Anolis sagrei: one gene and its partner. The protein of the gene in region 1 interacts with the protein of each later gene in a pairwise test. Links are inferred from orthologs where the notes say so. Each region holds a gene or a part of one and is shown on either strand. Other genes may lie near its edges.

What was found.
Region 2: the proteins of SYT6 (region 1) and ZBTB43 interact in binary tests that used the Homo sapiens proteins (3 or more experiments, as listed by UniProt). The two-hybrid records come from large-scale screens. The link is inferred for Anolis sagrei from reciprocal best matches to the Homo sapiens genes SYT6 and ZBTB43.

What each region holds. Positions count from the first base shown.
Region 1 is NC_090024.1:202,976,558-202,980,484, reverse strand, and holds the start of SYT6 (synaptotagmin-6), read left to right. Parts: upstream 1-1,315; 5' UTR 1,316-1,843; coding exon 1,844-1,985; intron 1,986-3,927.
Region 2 is NC_090031.1:7,994,884-7,998,810, reverse strand, and holds the start of ZBTB43 (zinc finger and BTB domain-containing protein 43), read right to left. Parts: upstream 2,725-3,927; 5' UTR 2,602-2,724; intron 833-2,601; 5' UTR 821-832; coding exon 1-820. UniProt on the Homo sapiens protein: May be involved in transcriptional regulation.

The DNA of each region.
Region 1 (3,927 bases):
GTATTGGCCCATGTTCTACACCAGCACTGTCTTGAGCAATGACCATACTGCTGGCTGCACTTGTGCAGTGAGCCTGACAATACAGTTATGTCTCCTCTCCCCCACCTGAGAATACAAAAGATGTATGACTGTACATTGGCTTAGTTCCAAACAGGATGTCGTCCATCTATCGATCTGTTTATCTTAGCATCAGCTTACCTTAGTCCACATTTTGTTAGTTAGTTTCCTTTTGTTGTGTGATTTGTTAGTGGGTGGTAAAAATAGCCAGGTTTGATTGCTCAGCACAATAAGTCCATACATCTCAGCCATGGCCATTTTACACGTACATTTTGGGAAAGGATAGATGAACAAGAACTTGAAAAGCTAAGACAGAAGCTTGAATAGTTACTACCTTGTTTCTTGTATAATCCATTGACATTGCAACTAAAGATATGAAGGGAAAAGCAAGAGTGGCAGGAATTATACCACAGAATCCTACAAAAGCCGTACAAACTAACAATGAAGTTACAGGCGACGTGGAATTTTGAAATTAATGCTGAAAGTACAAAATAGCAGATATGCATAAGTTTCTCTCCTCAGCGTCTTTACTCTATTCATATGTTTATAAGGCTCTGCTAATTCCTCCTTTAGTCTTCTGTTTCTTTTTAACTATTTGACTCTTCTAATCTCCCTCTCCGTTTTTGTCTTTTCTCTCTGCCCTTTGAAGTAAGCAAAATACTATTGAGAGGCCATAGCCAAGCTTTCTTCATCTATTTGTGACTTTTTTTAGGCAACAATGATATTCAAGTTCCACCTATCTGGAATTAGAACATGCTATTATTTTACACTAATTCATCATGATCCTGTAAAATTACGTTAACGGGTAATTATCTGACACTATATGTTCATTAGCATTGTTCCACACACCCACTTACTTATGATCCATGAGAACAAGGCTGCAGCCCCCTTATCATCTCTTATGTTGTTAGACTTGCTTCTTCTTCCTCCTCCTCTCTTCCACTCCAGAATTCATTTCTACTGAGTATTGTTCTAATTGCCCATTATGGGATCATTGCTCATGCCTGACAATTGGCACTTCCTCTACGTGCAGATTGGTTGCACAGCCTGATCTGGCAGTGGGAGCCCAGAAGTGGTACTGTAAATTAAAACAATGATCTAATTACTGAGCACAAAACAGGGCTGGCGCCCTATTAGCAATCTGCAGTTTAGCATGTTAGGGCTGAAATAAGCCAATAAATAAAACCTGTTCCCTCCCTTGTGCTGAAAACAGCATGTCTAGTAACCAATGGTGTTGCTCAGCTTCAGCTCTGTGTTGTGACAAGCTGTTTTGCTGCGCTGGAGGATTTCAATGCTCTCTCTCCCGCCACCCCACCTTGCATGAGCTCCAGAGAGAGCTTTACTGCTTCGTACAAGTCCCTGGCAATGCCTCTTCCACCACCACCTGGAAGGGAAGGCACAGCAATGAAGAGGTTAAAGAGCTTCTTTGGAATTTGGCTTTGAAAACTATGCAAGGAGGGAGTCAAAGTGAATTGGAGAGGAGGAACCTTGTGCAGCACACGTCTTGGCAGTAAATACAGCTCTCTGATATCGGATGCAACAAGGCAATCACAAGGTGCCGGTAGCAAGTGGTGGTTTGTTGAAAGTGGCATCAAGGTGGCACAGGCTCAGCCCAGAACTCAGCGTATATCTTCCAAGAGTGGCCTTCAGGGCGGTGAGGTGCCTGAATGACCCCAGGCAGTAGTGGATTCCTAGATTGTGTGACACTGTGAGTGTGCTGCTGTTATTCCACTGGAATCTCTCCTAGTCAGCCAGGTAGGAGGCAAAGGGAGATGCAGCTTGGGAAATGACCGCCACGAAAGAGGAAATCCACTGTCAGACAGCAGCTCGGATTGTCACGGACTTGTGCCGCAAGAAAAGCCTACCTCAGTTGGACCCAGATACCTGCAAGCAGTTCATCTTCCCAGACCTGAGTAATCCTGAGCCAGGTACAGTGCCCCCTGTTCTGTAGGGGAGGGCTTTCCTATTAATTGCCTAAAGAGACTGTGGGAGAAGAGGTCTGGCCCCCCTCCTTTCCTTTCAAAAGGGATGAGCCTTGTTCAAATCTCCTCCTTTATCCCTTGATTATATAGACATTTGCCTTCATCTTATTCTGTCCCTTGTAGCTGCATGTTGTTGGAAAGTTGGATGAAACCTGTTGAAAGCTGCAAGTTTTTGTAAGGAAGGCAAGCAAGGATAGAAGTGGGAAGAGTATGTGAAGAGGACATAGTTTAAAGCCAGGAGCAGGGGGATGTTGTTTCTGGTATTGAGGTTTTGGATTTTCATCATCTCTGTACTTCCAAAACCTTTGTCAGGGAATTGTGCCCCAACAAATTCACCTACATTTTTGTAAGGTTCAGTGTCTAGTCAAAAGTAAAATCACCTTAAAAAGAACTGGAGGGCAGCAGGAGGGTAATGGTAGAGTAATAGTTGAAATACTTTCTCCCTGTTTAAAAAGTGTAAGAAGAGAATTAATCTGAGGAAGTTATTAAATGTGAAAATAGAACTAAATTGAGATCACGTGTACTTTGTGTGTGTGTTTGAAAAGGGCATCTGTGTATTTGACTACTCAATGTTAATGTAAATAGAAGTATTGTTTACAATTATCTGAGCATCCCGCCATGGAAGAAATAGAGTGCCTTGCTAATTCTAAATACTCATTTCCATCAGATGATGGAACTGAGCACAGCTTTACAAAATTTGTGATGGTGAAAACAGGGGGTTTCTTTTTTAACTCCATGTCAGACTGTAGTGTTATTCCATGTCTGGATATTCTTTCAAACCAAGAATAGAAAGCCATTTCACAGCTTGCTTCAGGATTTATAGCAGAAGATATAGATGCCACATCATTAATGGTATTTAGCTGTGACAGGTAAAGGCGAGGAAACATTCCTCATTATTGGGATCCTTGAGGCAGAAAACTGTTATCTTGATGTCATGCCCTGTTTGTGATTTGTCTGAGAGGTTATTGGCCATCCACTTTTGAGAATGTAATGAAGTCTGATCCAGCAACTGCCATCCAGTAGGGTTTATCTTACATTCCGCACACAATAGTTTCTCAGTTGCACTGTAGATTTTCTTCTGTGATCTATATATTTTATTGCAATAATGGCTATTCACCTTAGAGGACCAGGGAGAGTTCTGTGCCATCTCTATGTACAAAGATACAGATGTCTATGCTTGTTGAGCATATGTTCCAATAAAATTTGAACATAGTTCTGCATGAGAGTTCAGTTATTGAAATTGCCTTCACTGTGCCCTTAAGAAAGATTTGCTTTGCAACTATCAGAGTCTGACTTTTCAGCCATAAGGCAAAAAGGATATCTTTTATTGCTTCATGGATTATTACAGTTTTTTTCTAATGTGCCAACAAAACATTTACAGCCTTTGACACAGATCTGAATCCCTGTAACCTACTGAGAACAAATTGAATAGAGAGGGTGGGGAGAAGAGGTAGACTCATGTTTGTTACTGACTGAAAACCCTGATCCTAGATGGGTAGAGTACTTGCAGCTGCGTTTGACTCACTCATGAAGGATTTGGGCTCTGCTGATACCAAACTGCCTTTGTCCTCTTTGAAAAGTGTAGAGTAATAATAGAATTGAACATCAGCATTCAGAAGGGCTGCTGAGATGGAGCCTTGATGCCAATAAATCCTGTTCATGAAGCATCAGAATGTGTTGTGGTAAATGTTTAAAAGCTTTCTCTGGAACAGTTTTTTTTCCAATAAAAGAAGTTGGGAGAACTTTACAAACTTTATATTTCTGACTTGCACACCTAAACCCTTTTTCTCATGGATTGCTCTGGATCATTGCAGACTGCCGGCTATCAGGATGGCTGCTGTGATTTCAGCAGGAATAACCTGATTTCTGAAGCTTATGCTGGACCTAG
Region 2 (3,927 bases), on another chromosome or scaffold:
CAGCCTGGACAGTGTTTACAGACTCAGATACCTGCTGTTCATCGTAAGGGCCATGCACTTCCACAGCTTCACAGTCCTGGACAAACCTCTCCGTTTTGACGTGGATCCACCGCTTGTGAGACATGATGCTCGGCTTGCTGTAAAGTGGCCTCGTGTATTGATAATCCGCACTATCGCTCACTCCTTCTTCCCCATCCTGGCTGGTCATTCCTGTGCTCAGCCCATCATGCTCCGTTGAAGAATTGCTCGGAAGATACTCATGTTCTGTTAGTTGAGATAACAGCTCATCCTTGGAACTTTCCTCCTCGTTCTCCCCATCCCGCAGTTCCTGCACTTTGTGAAAGTCAGCCTGCTCAAAGCTTTCCACGAGGCCGTTGTAGTTACTGCTGCTTGGAGACTGATGGTCGCTGGTACGGTTCAGCTTCTGGCAAAGCACTGACGGGTTCCCTTCCAAAACCTCCGTGCATTTGTCGACGACGTGCCACATCTGAAGGAAGCTCGCTGCTGTGAGGTAGCTGACAATCTCCGGAGCGGGCATGACCAGCCGTCCCGTGTAGGTCGACAGGAGGATGTTCTCAAACACTCTGGGGTTCATGACGTCAGGCAGAACGATCCTCCGGCTATTTTTCAGGAGCACTTGGTCGCAGAAGTAAGGGGAGCTGGCTGCCAGGACAGCTTTGTGGGCTCTGAAGAGGTGGCCCTGGACAACAATCGAAACATCGCACAGCTGCCCTTGTTGGCGTTGTTGGTTGAGCTTCTGCAAGATGGTGCTGGAGAAGTCGGGGAACTCCACTCTGAAAGAATTGGTCCCAGGCTCCATTTCATCAGCAGACTGCAAGGAAAGACAATATTTAGTTCACGAATAGGAAAGCAGGGCTGTGATTTGTTTTCTCCCTCTCATGACCAGCCAGACTTCCCCTTAGGAAAACGTTATCAGTTCTCAGGAATGTAAGAGGAGTCTGCTGTTGCCCTCATGCTCTGCCTTTGGGCTGTTCATCGCTGGTCATGATGAAAATAGTGGAACACGTCCAACATATTTCTTTTTATGTTCCAATTTGTAATTCATAGGAAAGTCATGATAGAAGAGGATTTATTTCTTCTCTTTCACAGGGCAAACAACCAATCTATTCTCTGCTCAAGACAACAACAACAATAACAACATGGTCACCCTGCTCCTTACAAGGTCTGTTGCAGTTCAGAAGAGCAACTGATAGAGCACACAAACAATTTCAGATTATGGTACATTTTGGATTCCCAGATAAGGATTGCTGAGTCTGTAGGAGAATTTATACCATATAATTAATACTGTTTGATACTTTAGCTGCCATATTATTATTATGGCTGGATGGCCAACTGTCAGGGGTACTTTGATTGGGTTTTTCCTGCATGGCAGGGGGTTGGACTAGATGGCCCATGTGGTCTCTACTAACTCTATTGTTGTTATTATTATTATTATGGCTGGATGGCCATTTGTCAGGGGTGCTTTGATGGTGCTTTTCCTGCATGGCAGGGGGTCGGACTACATAGTCCATGTGGTCTCTTCCAACTCTATTATCAGTATTACTATGGCTGGGTGGTCATCTGTCAGGGATGCTTTTATGGTGTTTTTCCTGCATGACAGGAGATTAGACTATATGGCCCACGTGTTCTCTTCCAACTCTATTATTATTATTATTGCTGAATGGTCATTATCAGTATTACTATGGCTGCATGGTATCTGTCAGGGGTGCTTTGATTGTGCCACCTCTATCATCATCATCATGATCATGGCTGGATGGCCATCTGTCAGGAGTGCTTTGATTGTGCCACCTCTATTATTATTATTATTATTATTATCATCATAATTATGGCCAGATGGCCATCTGTCAGGAATGCTTTGATTGTGCCACCTCTATCATCATCATCATGGCTGGATGGCCATCTGTCAGGAGTGCTTTGATTGTGCCACCTCTATTATTATTATTATCATCATAATTATGGCCAGATGGTCATCTGTCAGGAGTGCTTTGATTGTGCCACCTCTATCATCATCATCATCATCATAATTATGGCCAGATGGCCATCCGTCAGGGACTTCTTTGATTGTTCCTTTCCTGCAGGACAAGAGGTTGGACTAGATGGCCCATGTAGTCTCTTCCAACTATGTCATCACCATCATTATTATTATGGCTGGATGGCCATCTGTCAGGGGTGCTTTGATTGTGTCTTTCCTGCAGGGCAGGGGGTTGGACTAGATGGTTCATGTGGTTTTTTCCAACTCTATTATCATTATCATTATGGCTGGATGGCCATCTGTCAGGGTTACTTTGATTGTGCCTTTCCTGCATAGCAGGGGGTTGGACTAGATGGCCCATGTGGTCTCTTCCAACTCTAATATCATCATCATTATGGCTGGATGGCCATCTGTCAGGGGTGCTTTGATGGTGCCTTTCCTACATAGCAGGGGGGTGGACTAGGTGGCCCATGTGGTCTTTTCCGAGTTTATTATGCTGTGATTCTATGAAACCGCGTCAATCCTACAGTGCAGATGCCCCCAGGGCAAGCCCCACCTCTTTCCCCTCTCCCCCTCCTTCCCTATCCTCAGCCCAAGCCAAGCCTCACCTCTCTGAAAGGCAAGGCCCTCGGCGAAGCGCTCCTGCCTCACATGGCGGGCGAGCCCCTCAGGCTTCGCCTCCACCAGCCCACCACTCAGGCCCGGAAGTCCTAGTCTCTTCCTTCTTCCGGTTTTCTAGCCCCGCCACATCCGCTTCCGCCTTTAGAGTTAACCACAGACTTGCATGATAGATCTATACAAGCAGAGGTGCACTTCCTGGTTGACGCCCCCTTTTGGTTGTCTGTGGTATTGCCACACTGTAGAATGAATGAATGAGTGCAATTGGATGCCATTGTTTTCAATAGCCGGGGCTCAAAAGCTATGGAATCCTGGAAGGATGGTGTACTGGGTTGTTGTAGGGTTTTTCGGGCTGTATGGCCATGGTCTAGAGGCATTCTCTCCTGACGTTTCGCCTGCATCTATGGCAAGCATCCTCAGAGGTAGTGAGGCCTGTTGGAACTAGGAAAAAGGGTTTATATATCTGTGGAATGACCAGGGTGAGACAAAGGACTCTTGTCTGCTGGAGCTAGGTGTGAATGTTTCAACTGACCACCTTGATTAGCATACAATGGCCTGACTGTGCCTGGAGCAAACTTTTGTTGAGAGGTAATTAGATGTCCCAGCCTGCTTCCTCTCTGTTGTTGTGCTGTTGCAATTTTAGAGTGTACTTTTGCATAGAGTACTGGCCAGAGCAAAGGCAGAGGGGAGCAGAAGACATTTCCATCTTGTCTTTACTAATAATATAATATAGTATATTGTATACACTTATAATATTTATAATATTATAATGTAATACAATATAATACTAGCAATAATAATACAATATTATAATTATATATTTACATTACATGTAATATTACTAATAATATTACAATATAATGGTATAGTGCAATATAGTAATATCTAATACTGATATTGTACTATACTAATTATATACTATATTGTATGGAATTATATATTGTAAGCCGCTCTGAGTCCCCTTCGGGGTGAGAAGGGCGGCATATAAATGCCGTAAATAAATAAGTAAATAACAGAGTATGTAAGAAGCCAATGAAATCCACAAATGTGTGAACAATTTCAACAGAAAGGAGGAAACCATGAGAATGAACAAAATCTGACTACCAATATTTTAAAAACTCTAAAATCAAGACAGTAAATAAAGAGCAACACACAGAAAAATGGGGAATTCCAGACAGGAAACAATCAGGACCAGCTAACACCCCCCAACAAAGGCTTCCCCCCAGTCAGCAACCAGGCAGGCTTTGAAGCTGCAAGGCCATTCAATGCTAATCAAGCTGGCCAATGGCAACATTCACACCAGGACTGTGGCGCAG